Schizosaccharomyces pombe: one gene and its partners. The gene in region 1 interacts genetically with each later gene. Each region holds a gene or a part of one and is shown in the gene's direction. Other genes may lie near its edges. The genes, in order: rga7, rho2, rga8 and rho1.

The links.
Region 2: of rga7 (region 1) and rho2, changing one suppresses a phenotype caused by changing the other (phenotypic suppression), as found in Schizosaccharomyces pombe (one study listed by BioGRID).
Region 3: mutations in rga7 (region 1) and rga8 are lethal when combined (synthetic lethality), as found in Schizosaccharomyces pombe (one study listed by BioGRID).
Region 4: mutations in rga7 (region 1) and rho1 are lethal when combined (synthetic lethality), as found in Schizosaccharomyces pombe (one study listed by BioGRID).

What each region holds. Positions count from the first base shown.
Region 1 is NC_003423.3:2,109,939-2,114,986, reverse strand, and holds rga7 (Rho-type GTPase-activating protein Rga7), read left to right. Parts: upstream 1-1,911; 5' UTR 1,912-2,092; coding exon 2,093-4,180; 3' UTR 4,181-4,502; downstream 4,503-5,048. Other genes in the region: mat1-Mc (M-specific transcription factor Mc), read right to left, coding at 1-505; mat1-Mi (M-specific transcription factor Mi), read left to right, coding at 640-768; cms1 (U3-containing 90S preribosome complex subunit), read left to right, coding at 4,630-4,972, 5,029-5,048.
Region 2 is NC_003424.3:4,421,102-4,425,185, forward strand, and holds rho2 (Rho family GTPase Rho2), read left to right. Parts: upstream 1-1,589; 5' UTR 1,590-1,900; coding exon 1,901-1,926; intron 1,927-2,010; coding exon 2,011-2,089; intron 2,090-2,205; coding exon 2,206-2,211; intron 2,212-2,264; coding exon 2,265-2,303; intron 2,304-2,415; coding exon 2,416-2,456; intron 2,457-2,524; coding exon 2,525-2,543; exon of another isoform or gene 2,544-2,591; coding exon 2,592-2,684; exon of another isoform or gene 2,685-2,728; coding exon 2,729-2,863; exon of another isoform or gene 2,864-2,910; coding exon 2,911-3,075; 3' UTR 3,076-3,545; downstream 3,546-4,084. Other genes in the region: protein nst1, read right to left, coding at 1-1,110. UniProt on the Schizosaccharomyces pombe protein: Involved in cell morphogenesis, the maintenance of growth direction, control of polarity and of cell wall integrity. Regulates the synthesis of alpha-D-glucan through activation of pck2.
Region 3 is NC_003424.3:570,252-576,476, reverse strand, and holds rga8 (putatiRho-type GTPase-activating protein Rga8), read left to right. Parts: upstream 1-2,053; 5' UTR 2,054-2,105; coding exon 2,106-2,208; intron 2,209-2,252; coding exon 2,253-4,483; 3' UTR 4,484-4,671; coding exon of another isoform or gene 4,672-5,592; 3' UTR 5,593-5,724; downstream 5,725-6,225. Other genes in the region: erg11 (sterol 14-demethylase), read left to right, coding at 1-1,342; mrf1 (peptide chain release factor), read right to left, coding at 4,672-5,592, 5,830-5,928, 6,071-6,225. UniProt on the Schizosaccharomyces pombe protein: Acts in signal transduction. Negatively regulates the pak1/shk1 control pathway.
Region 4 is NC_003424.3:4,222,106-4,226,342, forward strand, and holds rho1 (Rho family GTPase Rho1), read left to right. Parts: upstream 1-1,965; 5' UTR 1,966-2,074; coding exon 2,075-2,145; exon of another isoform or gene 2,146-2,217; intron 2,218-2,380; exon of another isoform or gene 2,381-2,476; coding exon 2,477-3,014; 3' UTR 3,015-3,719; downstream 3,720-4,237. Other genes in the region: plasma membrane TRP-like calcium ion channel Pkd2, read left to right, coding at 1-28; protein tam6, read right to left, coding at 543-788. UniProt on the Schizosaccharomyces pombe protein: Involved in the regulation of cell wall growth and actin cytoskeleton organization. Activates (1,3)-beta-D-glucan synthase.

The sequences.
Region 1 (5,048 bases):
CAGGGTACATTTTCTGATGTTGTGCTTTATAAAACTCAGACATCTTAAAATATCGCATACGTACTTCCTTTGATTCGTTTCTCCACATCTCTCCAACCAGCTTGGAAACTTGTGAATTATTGATGGAAGGGTTAGACTTTAATAATGTAGCATGTTTTTCCTTCCTGTATAATATAAAAGCATTAGGGGGTCTCGGAGTACGTTCAGTAGACGTAGTGTCTTTCCGTAAACTCTTCAAAATATAGCCGGGAACTTTACATTGATCCAATGTGAAGGATATTGGTTGAGGTCTTGGCAGTTGTGCAGAATTCCCATCCAACAGGTAGCTTTGTGAGTTAGGAATGAGTATAGGAGTAAAGCCATCAGGAACAAAGTAAGCAGCACCTTTGCCAGTTTCAATTGAATGAAGAGCATCCTTTGTAAGGTATCTTTTAAAACACCAGTCTGGATCTAAAAAGTCGTAGGAAATAGGGGAACCCGCTGATAATTCTTGGTGTGAGTCCATTGTAGTTGTGAGTGCAAGGTAGGTGTAGAGTGTGGAGGGTATTTAACTACTTACAGAACAAAGAAACCCAAAAACAAAGGAACAAAATACACTAAAACACAATAATTTAATCTAAAGCACAATACATACTAATAATGTCAGCAGAAGACCTTTTTACAATTCAAATCCTATGTGATCAAATTGAGTTAAAACTTGCATCCATTGTAATAAATTCTAACATCAAATTACAACTTAAACGTAAAAAAAAGACACAACAATTATAAACTACATATAAGCAGGGTTCAGTAAATTGGGAAGGCGTTTCTGGCTATTAGGTTGTATGGCTATTAAATTAAAGGTTGTATGCTATACAAATGCATATGCATATGCATACAGAAAAATACTACCTCTTCCAATATTTTTCCTTCAACTACTCTCTCTTCTTTTCCTACCCTTCTTCTCACTCTCTTTTCCTTTCACGGCTAACCCACTATTTTCTCTCCTTTCTCTTTCTTTGTTCCTACCCAAACAAAGAAATAGTTACCATAGCTACTACAACAAAGCAAGCACTCATCCCACTTAATGTGGGGTCCCCTAAAGAATTCCCGTCTAATGAGAATTAGGAACGTTTCATTGTCAAGTTCGTTATTAAGTTATTTAAGAAAATATAATACTGATTAAAAATATATCGGTATAACAAATACAAAAATTAAACAGTCGCAATAAAACATGTTGACAAACCTGTAGTCATAGAATAAACATAATGTTATTATATTAACAGTAGGCTCTAAGGATTTATTATTGTTTTTACATATTCGTTCATGACAAAAAAAGTATTACAAACAACTTGCAATAGAATAATCCTACTTATTTGTTCTTTTCATTCACCTAATCCTCTCCCCCATTTGGAAAGGGTATGGCATTTTACTCGAATAACGCAACCAACTTTCTGTCTCCTTATTTTGCTATCCCCCACTTAGAAAGGGTATGACACTTTTCCTTAAATAACACAATCAACTCTTTCTCCTTATACCCTTCTTCCCCTTACCGCCTTCCTACTCACCTCAGTCTTTACCCCCACGTATCTCTACCTCCCACTTGGAAAGGGTATGACACTTACCTCGAATACCACAGTCAACTCTTCCTTCCTTTTCAACCCTCCCTCACTATACTTCATCCCACTTAAAAAGGGTATGGCAGAAACGTTATACAACGCAATTTGTATTTTATTCTTTTCCTTTACCTTCCTATCTTAAACTCATTTTCATCCCCCACACTCAACCTCCCAATTCCAAACTTTTAGCTTCGTTACATCTCCGTAATTTGAACTACTCATACCTCCTTAATCCTCTTTATCTCTTCCTCTACCGTCCTCTCCTTACCCTTTCCTCGTTTACATCCTCTATACTCGCTATACTACTCAAACCAACCACCCACTACCAATTCCTTACAAACAAAGAATTCACCCTTCTTTCCTCTATCATTCTTTGCTTGCTCAAGTGATTTTATATATTTTCGCGTTTACCGCGCTTCTTTTGTTATTTTTACTCTTTCTATTCTCTCACTCTATTTACTTCTCTTGCTCCCGCCCATCACTCAACTCCTTCAATGCTGTCGGCTCCCTCCTCCTCTACCACTCCCGCTTCCCCACCAACATCGCCTCCAAATACCACTTCCTCTGATGATTTCGCAGTTCTCAAAGAACCAAAAGTCGAAGCGATCCTCAATTCGGAACTTGGTCTAGCAATCCTAAATGATCGCATTAAAGACTACCTCCTCACTTGCAAAGAACTCGCCGGATTCTTTAAAAAGCGTTCCATTCTCGAAGAAGAAAGTGGAAAAAATTTACAAAAACTTGCTAAATCCTACCTAGAGACGTTTCAATCCAAACACCACTCTCCCCAATCTTTTTCCGCCTCTGTCATTACGAGTATGGAAATTCATGAACAACTTGCCAATCACAGTTTAACCCTTCAAAAAACTCTTTCTGCATTTTCCGATCAAGTCATCGAATTTCACAAAAACGCAGAACGCAAACGAAAATCCATCAAGGAATATGCGAAAAAACAAGAAAACGCATATTTAGAAGCCGTTATGCAAATGGATAAATCCAAATCTCGCTTTAAGGGTGCCGAAACCGAGTACAACCGCGCTCTCGACAACAAAAACACTGGAGACTCCCAGAAGAAGGTTGGTTTTTTTAAACCAAAATCTAATGCTCAGCTCACCAAACTCGAAGATGAAGCTCGCCTTAAGGCCGAAAATGCAGAATCAGATATGCACAGTAAGATTGAAAACGCTCAAAACGTTCAAAAACAACTTTTGTGTATTCACCGACCAAACTACATAAAGCAATTCTTTTCCCTTCAACGCGAAATTGAAAGCTCACTCATTGCAAACTATCTACGGTACACAAAGCTCTGCGAGTCAAACACCCTGCTCAACGGTCTCACAATCCGTCCACAAAAGCCCACTCCTACCAACTGTGGTTTACAACATGCTTTGGATAATATAAATGCAAATACCGATTTTGTTCAATACGTCCTTCACGCCTCCATCAAGCATGAAGATAACAAAAATCCAACCGACGCTTCTAAAACAAAAATCATTCAACCTCCAAGCTCTTACGGAACTGGTTCCTCTGCCGGAAAAACCAATCCACCCGTCAACCCCACCATCAAGGTTACTGCTGCTATTCCCTCTCCCCTACAAAACACTAATCCTGCTCCATCCACTTTTCCCAACCCTTCTGTGGCTTCCCCTGCCTTCCCAAACTCATCTACTTCCAATCCCTCTACTGCTCCCGCTTCAGCCTCTCCTTTGGCTTCTACCCTAAAACCTAGTACCGCCAATGACACAAACGGTTCTTCTTCATCCTCTTCTTCCAATCCTCGTACCTCTTCTCCACTCGCTTCTAATGCAGAAAACAAGCCCCCTGTTGCCCAACAATCACCTCCCGTACTACTTCCTACTTTACCTCCCATCCAGACGACAACGATTCAAACGTCTCGAGAAGTCGCACCACCGCCTTCTAGCATCAACTCAAACCGTGCTGCATCTCCCTTCCGACCAACTTCTGTCTCCCCTCAACCTTCCTCTCCTACGAAATCGTTACTCTTTGGTGCTCGATTAGACGCAATCATTCTACGAGAACATTCCAACATTCCAAACATCGTAATGCAATGCACTTCCCAAGTCGAAAATTTTGGTCTCAACCTCCAGGGCATCTACCGTGTTCCCAGCTCTTCCGCCCGTGTCAACATGTTACGTTCTCAATTTGAGAATAATCCTCTCTTACAATTACATACACCTGAGGACTATGAAAACGACGTTCATGCAGTCGCTGATCTACTAAAAATCTTTTTCCGTGAACTACGTGAACCGTTAATTCCCGACAATCATCAAAGAGACTTTATCGACGCAGGTAACGTTGAAGACGAATCCAGAAGAAGAGATGCCGTCCATCGTGCGATCAACGATCTTCCCGATGCCAACTACTCTACCATTCGTCATTTAACCATACATCTTGCTAAAATTAAAGAAAACAGCGATGTAAACAAAATGTCGACAAACAATTTGGCCATTATTTGGGGACCTACTATCATTAAGCAAGCTACTATCCCAGAAATTAGCAGTTTCTCTAGAACTATCGAAATTCTTATCGACTATTGTTTCACAATTTTTGACTACGATTAAAAGATCATTTTCTGTATTATTTACTGCTTACCATCTTTTTTTTCTCTTTTTATATTTTTTTCCTTTGCGTCAATAAAGCACACTTGACACTATTCTCTCTTTCTTGGATTTTGTATGCTTCCACCTCTTTCCCCTTTTTATCCCTTTCCTTACCTTGTTTTTATCCTAAACTTTTGTTTGTCTACAAATTCATTCTTTTCTTTACTGTCAATTCCGTTCACAATTTTAATCCATAGTTTAGACAACCTTCATAACGTAATAATGGAAATTATCTACGATTTTATAAACCAAATGAATTCCTTTTATTTTTTTTTCTTCTATATAGACCTTCAAATACTCTATATTTTTGTAAACGATAGATTTATATTTTTTTTTACATTTTTCCTGTACTATTCGACGGTCCACGAACTGAACGTATCCCTAACACCAAAATTTTAAAACATGCAATTATGAGCTACACGACAACAGACGCTGATGCTTTGGATGATCAACTTGATTATCAGGTAGATTTAGTTTCAGAAATTTCAGTTTCGGATGAAGAATCTGCACAACCTACTACAATAACTGAAAATTTTACTGCTTCTCAAAACAACGATTCAGCGAAACGTGAAAAAAGAAAAAAACAACGCCAAAAACAAAAGGAAAGGAAAAGAGCTAAATTGTTAGAACTACAAGACACAAACGCTTCAATCATCCAGAGTCCAGACACGCTGTCCGATTTGTTAAATAATTACATAAAAAGCATTTATAGTGATCTTACCGATGTAGAATTGTCAGATAAAGTGATTAAAGGTATAATTGCTTATTATTCTTTTTTTTTTTACTTCACTTTACTAACTCACTATAAGCATCTTACATTGAAGATACG
Region 2 (4,084 bases), on another chromosome or scaffold:
TGGTACGTTGTTCAGAGGAATCGATAAAAGCTTAGGTGAATCGGAGATGATTCCTTTCTGGGACTTGTCTGAACCTTCGTCTGAAGCGTTTACAGACTCGGTATTTGCAAGGTTACGTTGAATATTAGCATATTGTTCTAATTCTTCATAGTAAGCATCATACAGTACTTCCAACTCTTCCTCAATTGCTAAACGTTTCCTTCCACACACCGAACAAGAGCATGAGTATTTTTGTTGCTCTTTCATTTTTTGCAAAACAGCTTCTTTTTCGACTTTAACTAACGACCTGCGTTCACTTTCACTTAAGGAAAGCCAAAATTCCCGAATTTGCTCCCGCTCCTCAGTATTCGAACTGCTCCAAATATCTTTGGATTTATTATTGTTAACGTTATTATTCATACTGGCTTGACGCACAGAACCGTTGTAATAAGAAAGCGCTTGCCCATTCCTATAAGTAATAGCAACGTCCGTAGAATAAACTTGTTCAAAATCTCTTTGATCATCCACATTCAACGATGCACTATTTGCTTTTGACTTCTTCTTCTTTTTCTTTTTCCGTTTAGATGAAGTTGACGAACCTAACGCTACTGTATTCAAATTCATATTATTTTGAACGGAGTTCGGTGACATATTGGACGACGTCGCGTCTTCCAAACCAGGTATATGAACTGGAAACTCGGCTTCATCCACGAAACTGGAGGTAGAAAGAATACATTGGGGAGAATGTTCTATGGTATCGTCAGATTCAAGAGTGAATTGCCAATCCGTCGAAGATATTCCTTCGACGTTAATCAACGATGAATCATCACCATTTGCCGAGACCAGCTGCGGATGAGAAATACGAGAATTCAAATTTGAAAGTTCCAAAGACGCTTGATGATCTATGACACCATTATTCGCGCCAACGTCTGTAACTGCAGAATCGGTCCCTGCCGACCCAAGCAAATCCACGTTTGCTTGAGTCTCGACATTTTTCTTGGCTTTCGGTTTTTTCTTCTTTTTATTCTTTTTCTTTGTACCAGAGTTGGGAATAGGTATAAGAAGATCCTTGAAACTTGGAGGTTCTAACCCTACACTGAGTGCTTCGGTGCGAAGAGCTTTATCATTCATGTTTTCTTTTTAAAAATCGCCTACCAACAACGCCTCTTTTTTTATGAGCTTAAAATATGAAACTAACGATTTAAAAAAAAAATAATTTAAATTATTTTTTTTATTCAAATTGTAGCTCACGGGTCTGCGTTGGCAATGTTTTAAGGGTAATCCCTAAAATTCTTAAATGCCGAACTGCCCACCTTTTCTTAGTTCAATATTCAAAAACAGTATACCCCAAAGTACTTGAAATAGTATATCTTCTTAGGGATTTCAACCCAGATGATCCAAATCACAAAGATTTTTGGATTTAACTAGTTCAATTGCTGCTTTGCAGAATGTGGTGAATAAAGCCAAACGGCAAATGGCGTTTTATCATATTTAATGCATCTTAACGTGCAAAATTAGTTCTTTAAGGCATGTTAAGGTGCAATAAGGAAGCGTACGATTCCAATAAATTGAATTTACGATACTTAACACCAAAAGTGTCTATAATCCGCATGGGATAAATGTCACCAAAACCACATTTCTTGAACAAATACTCTTTGAGAAGCTAATTTTTGTGCATATACTACTTTTCGTTGCTCTAATTGAAAGGCTTGGACGTTTGGCTAATCGCTTCATTTGACTATTTCGACAATCGCTTACTCATTTCTTATATTTCAAAAATTCACACCTATTTGGTTTAATTTTTACAGCTTTTCGAACCGGGAAATTTTGGTTGTCTGATCTGCAGTGAATCATTCTTTAAGAAAAATTTGCATAGAAAAAACCTCATACAGTGTTTAATCCGCTCCCTATTAAAAAGTACATGTTGCAATCTCAACCGATTAGAAGGTACGATTCTATGGCCTAATATCTTTTTGCTTCTTTTATTTCTTCTACTCAAATTCATTTTCTTTAAATATTAATATTTTTAAGGAAACTAGTAGTTGTAGGCGATGGTGCCTGCGGGAAGACGTCTTTGTTATCCGTTTTCACTTTGGGATATTTTCCTACTGTAAGTACAGATGTCATAAAAGTGAGCTTTGGCTTATCGCATATTGCACGATACGCAAATACTTATTGTCTTTTCTACCTTATTTATTTATTTATTTACTAACTTACTGGCGATAGGAATATGTAATGCTTTTTTCTCTTTATTTCGTAGAGTTTTTTAATAACAGTTACTATAGGTTCCGACTGTGTTTGAAAACTATGTTTCAGATTGTCGAGTATGTGTGATTAACAAGTTATTGAGCTTTTTCAGTTGGTTACAGAAAGTTACTTTCCCACTGGTCCCTTTTCTTTGGGTTTTGCTAATACATTTGATACTAACTAAAATAGGTTGATGGAAAATCAGTTCAACTGGCATTGTGGGATACCGCGTAAGTACTTTTTTTTCTGATGTTAAAACTATATGTTATGTATTCCTGCATACTAATTCTTGTTTTAGAGGTCAAGAGGAATATGAGGTTTGTTTCGTTATTAATAGTGAGAAATACGTCGTTAACCCAATGCAGAGATTAAGACCAATGTCTTACGCTAAAGCACACATTATTTTGGTTGGGTTTGCGATAGACTCTCCTGATTCACTTGAAAATGTTTCTACGAAGGTTCGTTTCATTAATTGTTTTTTCCAGTCATTAACATTATATAGTGGATTGAGGAAATTAATACACTTTGCCCAAATGTTCCGTTTATTTTAGTGGGCATGAAAGCCGACTTAAGGTCAGATCCCGTTGCTATTGAAGAAATGCGACGTCGAAATCAAAATTTTGTAAAATCACAACAGGTATATATTAATAATTCAAACACGTGAATACTAATTCTTGATATCAGGCTGAATTAGTAGCTCAGCGGATTGGTGCGAGAAAGTATATGGAATGTTCTTCATTGACTGGTGACGGCGTGGACGATGTATTTGAAGCTGCTACTAGGGCAGCACTAACAGTTCGGGATTCGGAAAATGACAAGAGTTCTACAAAATGCTGCATCATTTCATAATTACTAATATCCTAACGATTGCAAACATTCATGTTTCAGTTTATAGGAAAGCCTATCAGTTTATGCGACCTACATTTACAAAAAGCTGATAGACTTTTTTGCTTTTCTTCGCATTTGTTCTTTGCCGTTGTTTCATTTCGTTTTCACTTTCACTTCTGTCGTTTACTTTTTTCTTTTTCTCCCCTATACCTCAAATTTAGTTCCTATTTTATTTTGAGACTCAGGAGTATTATTATTATTTTCATCATTATAATCTTCACGCATCGGTCGAACGACACTAGCCTCCTTTTTCATTTCATTAAGCAAACCGCATTCAGTTATTATTACCTTTTTTTTTTACTCTTAAACATCTTTCATTCTTTTTCAGCATCTATTGTCCTCATGAAAACTACTTTTTGTTTAAAAGATCATAGGACTTTATTTTTAGAACTGCCGCTTGCGCTCATTATGAAGTACAAAATTCATATATGTACATATGCTTTTGTTCTCTTAGGCTAATAGAAAATGTCAGTTTTCCTTATTGATACATTTAATACGTAGGCTCACTTCGCTAAGTAATTTTATGGGGCGGTCAAATTCAAAATTCTGGCTCATTTAAGCTAAATATTAAGACACCGCCAAAGGTATACAACCATATCAAAATTTATCACCTACTAAAGTTTCGAGCCTATTTTTTTCTGGGCATTAATGGGTTGGAAATCAAGACTGGCAAGAGTTAAAGTGGTCACTCTCATCAAACAACTATGTGAAATTATATACCCTTTAAACACCCATACTCCAACAACTAACTTTTCTTCGGGCGTTCACTTCATTAAGAACAACAACCAAAAAAAAACAACCAAAATCCATCCAAATGATAAAGAATGACAAATACGCGGCAAAAATCCGGAACTACACTAAAAATTACACATTCCTTTCATTCTTGATCGTAAGAAAGGAAATCGCCAATAAAGAGAGATAAATTCATACTCAAATACATCACAGACAAAGGATATTAAGACCACAGACA
Region 3 (6,225 bases), on another chromosome or scaffold:
CGGTATGGACCCTTATGTATTTTTTCGCGAGTGTCGTGCCAAATATGGTGATGTTTTCACCTTTGTTTGCATGGGTCGTAAAATGACCGCTTTCCTTGGTGTCCAAGGTAATGATTTCCTCTTTAACGGTAAATTAGCTGATTTGAATGCTGAAGAAGCTTACTCTCATTTAACTACCCCTGTATTCGGTAAAGATGTCGTTTACGATATTCCCAACCATGTTTTTATGGAGCACAAGAAGTTTATCAAATCTGGTCTTGGCTTCTCTCAATTCCGCTCTTATGTCCCCCTCATTCTTAACGAAATGGATGCTTTTCTCAGCACTTCTCCTGACTTCGGACCTGGTAAGGAAGGCGTTGCTGATTTGCTGAAGACCATGCCTGTCATGACTATTTACACTGCTTCTCGTACTTTACAAGGTGCTGAGGTTCGCAAGGGCTTTGACGCTGGTTTCGCTGACTTGTACCATGACCTTGATCAAGGATTTAGCCCTGTTAACTTTGTTTTCCCTTGGTTACCTCTCCCTAGAAACAGACGCCGTGATAGAGCCCACAAAATTATGCAAAAAACTTATCTTAAAATTATTAAAGATCGTCGCTCTAGCACTGAAAATCCTGGTACTGATATGATTTGGACTTTGATGAGCTGCAAGTATAGAGATGGCCGTCCTTTGAAGGAACATGAAATTGCTGGTATGATGATTGCACTTTTGATGGCTGGTCAACACACCTCTGCTGCCACTATCGTTTGGGTTCTTGCTCTTTTGGGTAGCAAACCTGAAATCATTGAAATGTTGTGGGAAGAGCAGAAGCGTGTTGTAGGTGAAAACTTGGAATTGAAGTTTGACCAATATAAGGACATGCCTCTTCTCAACTATGTTATTCAAGAAACTCTTAGACTCCATCCCCCTATCCACAGTCATATGCGTAAAGTCAAACGTGACTTACCCGTCCCTGGTTCAAAGATTGTTATCCCTGCCAACAACTATCTTCTTGCTGCTCCCGGTTTAACTGCTACTGAAGAGGAATACTTCACTCATGCTACTGACTTTGACCCCAAGCGCTGGAATGACCGCGTCAATGAAGACGAAAATGCTGAGCAAATTGATTATGGTTATGGTCTCGTTACAAAGGGTGCTGCTTCTCCATACCTACCCTTTGGAGCTGGTCGTCATCGTTGCATTGGTGAGCAATTTGCCTACATGCATTTGAGCACTATTATTAGCAAGTTTGTACACGATTACACCTGGACTCTTATTGGAAAAGTTCCCAACGTTGACTATTCCAGTATGGTTGCTCTTCCCTTGGGTCCTGTTAAAATTGCTTGGAAGCGTCGTAATTAAGGGAATTTCCCCTAATTTGAATGCATTTGCAATACGCTTATGGTATTGGTTTCTAACTTTGGTTCCGCCTTTCTCTTTTCATGCCCGTGTTAAACGTTTTTGTTTTATCTGACGAGTAACGAATAACCATGAAATTTGCTAGACATTTTAAATTTTAAGTGCTTTATTGTTTTATGAAATTGTAAATATTTTAGCGTTTTAAATGACTATTTGGTAGCATTTCAAATGTCAAAAGAATGTATTATGCAATTTCAAACTTCCTTATCCTCGCACTAAATCGATATGAAAACTACCCTGTCATCATTAGTGATACATTTTTACGATATTATAGTTTTAATAACGTCGGGACGCTCTCTTTCGTTTTCATGTAGGCATTATAACAATAAAGTACGCTACTCTCTCTTTTCAAAACCTCATCGTGCAAACGCAAGGTTTCTCAGTAAGCTATTAATTAAAATTTTGTAGTTTTTAATTGTACCATCGATCCAACCATAGCATTAATAATACAAAGTGGGTAAAAGCGTAGGCTGCTATTCAACTGAATGAAGTTTACATTTTATAAAGGATTAGTGGTATGCTATCTTATGTGTGTCAAGTAACGTATCTGTTGTCTTATTTACTGGATACTTTTGGCATCCTTGATGGGTAAAACTTTTCTGCGTAGCAATTCGCTATTTACTTAAGTTGAGTAATAAAGGGCGTAGACATGTCAACCACCTCTATATTTCTTGACAGGTTGTGACAGTTTCAGTCTCGAATTGAAATGATATCGAGCTTTTCAAATGGTTTTTGGAGTAAAGACTACGCGACTGGTGTGAAAAAACTTTTCGATTGCCTGGATAATGGAGTTGAAGAGAATGAGCAAGGTATTTAAATAAATTAATATAGGACTTCCTCTAACAACGAATAGTAAAAAACTTGTTGAAGTTATATAAAGAAGCGAATGAGGAATTTGGTGAAAAGCTTCAAGAAATAACGAAAGAATGTCTAAAAGGGAAAAAGCCAGAGAATACAGAAGACGGTGCTACTTCTAACAAGGCTTTTGAAGGGTTGCGCTCCGAGATTGCTAATCAAGGAAAGCAACATATTCGTATTGCCAAGGACTTAGAAACGCTAATTATTGCTCCTTTCTCTAAAATGTCTATTGATCATTCTCAGAAGTTACAAACCAGCCAACAAGTTCTTACCAATCAAATAAAGAGTTATGAAAAGAAATACTATACACTTAAAAAAACAAAAAGCGCTTACTACAACAAATGTAGAAACCTTGAAGATTATGAAGAAGAATCAAAGGAGTCCAATGAAACTACTAGTGAGGCTATTACTGACTTAACAACAGTTTCTAGTCCACAGCAGCAATCATTGTTGGAAAATGATGATGATCTGATTCAACTTGGTTTTATGGAGTTTAGGCCTGAGGAGTTAAAAGAGGTTTTGGCTCAAGTATTACAAGAAATACCCTTACAGGATTATCGCGTCCCTATCTTAGGTACTTACCCTAATACATGTTCAGGAAATATTATTGTTTCTTGGCTTCAGGAAAATCTTCCTGTTCCAACTTTAGTTGCAGCCGAGGCATTTGGACAAGATTTGATAGCTCAAGGATTTTTGCGTCATATGGGCGTTGGAGGTAGTTTTGTGAATAGTACCAACTTCCATTATCAGTGGAAAGACAAGGCTTTCCAGTTTGCAGGACTGAATAGTGTAGATAGTCTTGTCGAAAACGCCAAGGCTTTACCATTAGTTGGTGAATATCTTTCTGATTATATAAGTCATCGAAAGCTTTACTCTTCAGAAACTCAATCTCAACGTCTTAAAAGAGAAGTTCTGGATGCAAATAAAATTTACAGCGAATCAGTCGTTGATCTTGATAAATGCCGCACACTTGTGGAAGAAACTATTGCTGATCATTTGCAATTTCTTCAAAAATGTGAAACCGATCGCGTTCTTTATTATAAAGATTTTTTTATGGATTTATCAACAATTATTTCGAACTTTTTGCCTTCCATGAAATTGCTGGCTGATCAGATTGTTGTTTATCAGGAAATAATTCAACCTGAGAGTGACATTAGGTATATTTTAGAGTCTGCAGCTACTGGTCCATTTTTACCTCGTGTCGAAATATATGAGGATTATTATAATGATATTAAAGATCAGATTTTTGGAGTGGACGTTGAGTTTTTGTCTCATAGAGATAAGAAACGTGTTCCCATAATCGTTAGTACGATCCTTTCTTATTTAGATCTGTTATATCCTACGCTTGCCTCTGATGAAGTTCGTCAAAATATATGGCTTGTTAATTCTCCCTTGTCTTCTGTACATCAACTTCGAGAAGCGTTGAATCATTCTTCATCCGTGACAAAGGAGGTTTTATCACAGTATACTCCCTCCGTTGTGATAGGAGTTTTGAAGCTATACTTTCTTGAACTCCCTGATTCCATCGTTCCTTCTTCTGCTTTTGAGCTTATTCGTTCAATTTACATGAATCATAGTAATGATACGCCGTACAGGTTGAGACTTTTACAAAATCTTTTATCCCAACTTCGACGTGTTAATCTTGCTACTTTGAGTGCCATCATTACTCATCTAAATCGCTTGATTACGCTTACTCCAAATAAAGAAACTTTTACTATAAATTTAGCTAACTCCTTATCTTTATGCATTTCCCGTCCAGCAACATGGAATTTGGGTATTCAACATGATAAGCACCCAACGAAGTTCATGGAGGATCTTTTAACTTACGGACCAAGTATTTTTGAAGAACTCAGAAAATTGAATTCATCCAAACGTGTTTCTGACCGTGTATTATATCAATCTTCTGCTACTCCTCGGAGTACAGATGTATCACCAACTAGACCAGACTCCATTTCTTCTGTCCGATCTCATACTGCTGTCGAATCTCCAAGATCTTCGTTTGAGGAGCTGCAACCTTCAGAAATTCCCGCTGAATCTGAATTTACTCTTGAAAATGTGCCCACCTCATTGATCAGATCGTCGTATGCCTTGAATACTAGAAAGACAAGACGTAATTTCAGCCATTCTTCTGCTTCCAATGAAAGTGCCGCAATCTTTATTGATCAGGATGCAAAGATAGTGAACGAAGCAGTCGCCTCAAGAGATTCCAGTTTAAGTGGTAGTTAAAAATATGTTATTATGAGTTAACCTATGATCTTTTTTAAAGATCAGTTATGGATATCTTATTTGCATGACATGTTGCACATTCTTTTCTCATTATTCATTGCATATACCTAATAAACATTTTTCTCTATAGAAGTTTGACCACCATATATTATTGTACCTTCCTATTTTACTAGACTAAATTAGCATTCCTATACTATTTCAGAGTGTAATAGCAACTGTTCACGATTCCATATTCTTATTTTTTCCAAAAACTCGTCAAATTTTTCTTCACCTTGCATAAATGTTGATAAATCGTGCATGCTTAAACCTATCCGATGATCAGTTACTCGATTTTGGTTGAAGTTATAAGTTCGTAGCTTTTCCGAACGATCTGAAGACGTTACTTGATTTTTACGTTTCAGTCTTTCAGCCTCATTTTCTTTTGCGGCATTTAAGGCAGCCAATCTTGAATTCAGTACAAGAAATGCCTTTTCTTTGTTTTGATGCTGAGAACGAGAATCTTGCATGCTAACAGTGATACCAGTGGGTATGTGTGTTAAACGTACGGCGGATTCTGTTCTATTAACGTGTTGTCCACCGGCTCCACGAGATCTCATTACTTCGATTTTAACTTCAGATGAATCGTAAAGAGAAGAGGATTCATCATTTGACACCTGAGGTAAAACGATTACTGATGCAGTACTCGTATGAACTCTTCCTTTAGTTTCGGTAGCAGGAGTCCTCTGAACCCTATGAACACCTCCTTCCAACATAAGATGACCATAAGCTCCCTCACCTTCAATAGAGAAGATGGCCTCCGTTATCGCTTCAAGTCCTTGGACTGCACTTTTTGATATAAATTTGCAATTCCATCCTTTAAAATTTGCATACTGAAAATACATTTCCACTAGTTCATTTGCAAATATTGCGGCCTCTGTTCCTCCTACACCAGGACGAATTTCGATTAATGCAGGAAGAGCATATGAATCAGCTTGTGGAAGTAATGTGTTTTCAAGATCTTCTATGCTTTTTGGTATTTTATTACTTATTTCGTTTATTTCAGTCACTGCCATCATTTTAACCTCTGCATCTGACTCTTGGGCCTCCATTTGTTTCAAATCGCTTATTTGCTAAATTGTTAGAATTTTTTTAAATCAAGGTTTTCAAAAACTAGTTATTTAAGTATTTCAACATGCTCATCAAATAGCTTTACTTAGATAAACAGTAAATGCCTGGCAAAAGTCTTAAGTTATAGACCCATTAGCAAAAAAAAACCATTGTAAATCGATTACTATAAATAGGAAGAGTAATAAAAAAAAGGAAAGCTTTTGACTACAAGTTTGAGACAAATTCGTCTTATATCATACCTCAGACAAACTTTTAAATTTCGAATATGCATTATGAACGCGTCGAAGCCTAGCGATTCGCTTTGCTAAATCTGTATCGTTTGTCATTGCCGATTGATCCTAAAAGATATAAGTTAGATCATTTATATCAGATTTTAATTTTTCATGAGTAAAGCTTAATGTCCGGTATGCTTGTATTACCATTATTATTGTATCTCGAACAGTAGCAGGCTGATTTCACACTTTGTTTGCCGACACTTACTTTATTATTTACTTGATGGAATTGAAGATACTCTGAAGAAAGCGATCGGGCTTTTTCAATAAGTACTCTTGAAACGTTATGCTCAGAGTATCCTTTTTTGCAAGCAATGCTACGAATTTGATATTCAATTCCATGTCTAAAGTACCATAAAACTT
Region 4 (4,237 bases), on another chromosome or scaffold:
ACCATTACCTAACAATGCTTTTCGTTAAACGTGGATGGAAAATGTTGTGTCGTATTACATATATATTACATTCCATCTACCTTACACATTCTTTCATTATTATACAATTGTTGTCTCTGAGATTTTTTTAAACTATAATTTTCTACAAAGTTTGGGGTAAAAGACCTTTAAAACAATTCACACAAGCATTCTTACAATGAACTCGACGAGGAGGTTCAATAAGCAATCAATGTCTAAATCTTATTTTTAGACAAAAGTCAACTATTTAGTGTATTCGCATCCTTTTTTTTATTTATGGTTCTTTTTTTAATTATATTTCAGAATTTTCCCTTCATTTCTGCTTCTTTTCTTTTATTCCATAATTGTTATAGTGTATAGGTTTAGTTACCATTTAAGCATATTTGTTGGATGTGCATCAGAAAGCAAAAAAACTTCACCCGTTTGATTAAAATGCAATTTAGTAAAAAACATTTACTTCTGATTCAAGTTACTTCTTCACGTCTTAAGATAACTGATAATAGAAAACGACGTTTATTAACATTTTATTGAAACAATCTATAGACACCGGTAAGAATAAATCCATAAGCCATTCCCAAAATACCGAATCGTTTAAGCTTGTAATTGGGTGTATTCAAAGGAATTCTAGATTGCGAATAGGCATATATTCCTAGACCTGTGAAAGCGCCTGCGCCCACCAAGCGGCATGGCAAGCAATCGTACTGTTCAAACCTTGGATCGTCTAAATCGACGGGTTTGGGAGTTTGTTGGAAACTTGATGATGGCATCATCGAAAGCTATCAGTTTAATTTATAAACTATAAAAAAAAAGTAACCGCGTAAATATATATGTGTATAATTAAGAGGCCACACAGCTTTCAACCACTTTCACTTTATAAACAAGATTAAAGCACTAAAAGGTAAAGTTTACTCAACCCGCTTTTTCTTTTCTTGTCAACTACAAAATGAAATGTCAGCGATCAATAATACGGTATCCAATTTGATAGATGTTCAATAATAACGACTCAGGACTTTTTTCTCTTTCAATTTGTGGGAAATCTATAGGGCGCGCTGTTCAAACTGTTTAATATATTGGTCTTATGTTCTCCAGTACTGAAATGAATCAATGGCAAAAGTTAAAAGAGACAAAGTAGTGAGTTAAGAGCTAAGTTATAGATCTACTGAAACCGTCTGTTTTATTTTAACTATGAAGAAGAATAAAAGAGGCTAAAGTTACATTTCATTTTTGTATATTTGTAGATCTGCTACCGGATCAATATTTTTTTGGGCGATATAATTTTAGTAAAATTAAAGTAGGATTTTATTGATCTCGAGAAATAAGAGAGCAAACAAAACGACGATAGAAAGAAAGAGCATCGTAATATTGCTTTATTACTTCAATCTGACATGTAAAATTATTTTTCGGCACCAAAAATTGCCGCTTTTTGAATTTAGGAATTCATCTCACATTTGCATTTTACAAATAGAATGCTGTTTAATTTTATGAGTATACAATTATAATTATAGCTATTTATACGAAGCTTTGCTTCTTTATGTCTCTTCCAAAAGTTTCTATATTCCTGCTATGTTTATTATTTATAAAATACTGAAATAAAGTGTGTACGTTAAAATAGGATAAGCGGATTAAATGCGTTCCGTTATCTTCGAATATTATGACTAAACTGAATACGTTAACGAAATTTTTCCGCTGGTTTCTGCTTTTTTTGGCGTTTGTGATTCAAACAAAAAAACGTCTGTTGACATCAAGTCGGAGTGGAGACAATCTTTTTGTAATAAAACTGTTTTAATTGCACTTTACACTCTGTACAGGCTCAGCCTCGTCCATACATACTCAAAGGGTTCATCTATAAGAGCGCTAGGGCAAAGTAACGAGATTTAGTGAAGTGTAGTAGCGTCTCCTTCTTTCCTTTCGTTGTTACATGAGCCGCTGACAGCCTAGTAAATAGCTAACCACTGCCACATCGAAGGAAAGAGCGGTGTCAGAATTTGAGTCGAAAAACGTTTATTTACGTCGAAATTTTTCTGTCTAGAGCAGGAGAAAGTAAACAAATCTAGGGATGGCGACAGAACTTCGCAGAAAGCTCGTTATTGTGGGAGATGGTGCATGTGGTAAAACATGCTTATTAATGTAAGTAAAAATGGTGCAAGCGTCGGAAAGGTAGTAGAAGGGTAAAGTAGTTGCTTGGGCCTGTTTTAAATTGGCAAGGGTTTACATCTCTTGCTTAGCATGGCTGGAGAAGAAAATTATTTCCGTAAGCATGTTCATTGCCTCAAGAAAATAATGAAAGAATCCCCATAGAAATGAGACTTAGATGGGGTTTAGATTACATTTAATAAATGTTCCGAGGATTTAATTTGCACTCCGTACCCTGTATTTCTACTTACTCTTTGCTTGCTTATCTGCAATGTTTCACGAGTCTGTGTCATTGTTATACAACTTCTAACATTTTTCTTTATAGTGTATTTTCTAAAGGAACCTTTCCCGAGGTCTATGTTCCCACTGTTTTTGAAAATTATGTAGCTGATGTTGAGGTTGATGGACGCCACGTTGAGTTGGCTCTTTGGGATACGGCTGGACAAGAAGATTACGACCGTCTACGTCCCTTGTCATATCCTGACTCACATGTTATCCTTATTTGCTTTGCTGTTGATTCTCCCGATTCTCTTGACAATGTTCAAGAAAAATGGATTTCCGAGGTTCTCCATTTCTGTTCCAGTCTTCCTATTTTGCTTGTCGCTTGCAAGGCTGATCTCCGTAACGACCCAAAAATTATTGAGGAGTTATCCAAGACTAATCAGCATCCCGTCACCACAGAAGAAGGTCAAGCAGTAGCTCAGAAGATTGGTGCTTACAAATACCTTGAGTGTTCTGCCAAGACGAATGAAGGTGTTCGTGAGGTTTTTGAATCAGCCACTCGTGCTGCTATGCTCAAACACAAGCCCAAAGTGAAGCCCTCTAGTGGAACTAAGAAGAAGAAGCGTTGTATCTTGTTGTAAACAGCTTGTTTCCAAATTTTTTAACTTAGAGAATTTATCTTTTCTGTTTTTATACATCTCTTCAGTCGAAGCACATTCAACAAGTTTCCGTATTTTTTCGACTTATGTTGATTTTTATTTCACCTTCACCTTGGTGGGAGTTTTGCATTGTGTGGCCTATCATGTTACATAGTCATTATATCCTCTCATTCTTTCCTTTTTACTTACCTCAAGTCGTGCCATTTAGTCAGCTTGGCAATGATTTAAGCGCATTTCATATAGCTGTTCTACCATTTCCCCTCACTGTTCTGCAACGTATAGGCACCTGCAAGGAGTATGCGTCTTGTTTTCAGTCTTTGCTTACTTTGCTATACTCTTCGCTATTAGTTTGAAGAAAATTTCCCTTATTGCCTTGTTATTGCATGGTTTTATTTTTCCTATAATACCTTGTTTCTTTTGTTAAGGATTGCCATCATTATTATCCTTTCTACCTAGTCAAAGGACTTGGTAAATTTTTATAAATCGGTAATTTAAAGAATATACACCTCGATTGAAACTCGATCAAAACCCGAATATTTTATAAGCTTTCTCACAGCACGTAATTGCTTATTATCGTGGAACTTTAGCTGGGTCTCCAATTTTGCACTAGAATTATTGTAGAAAATTGAAGCGACATTATCTCTGTTGATAACCTTGCTGGTATACAGGCGCTTGGTATTTTTATACACGTTGATAGTCGAAGTAGCAGATAGCCGTAGTTGATGGTTTAAACATTTTGTATTTTGCGGAAATTTGCACACTGTTTATATCTCATTCTCTTTACGTCAAGCATACCAATGTTTGCAATTTCATGTTTTGAAGGTGACCGTTGTTATTCTATCTATGCATTTGTATTACCATTTGATTTTCACTCTGTCTACAGGCAAGATTATCAGATGAAGATATAAGCATTGTTGACTTTACCTAAAAAAAAGGATAATTGCGAGGGAGCAAATAGTGAATTAAAGGGAAAAGAACAAAGTTTTTGTAGCTACTAAAAGCTGTTTGTCTATCTCTATGTGTACCTTTTATAGTGCTTATAAGTAAAATGCAGAGTCGAAATCTTCATGCTTTAATGTAAAGCATTAGTAAGGTTACATATTACAACAGAAATGGGAATCAAAATCTTAAATCTAAAAGTTGAGAGGTCTTAACAAAAAAGCTAACTCAACTTAGCTTTACAATTTATAAATCAAGGAAACAAT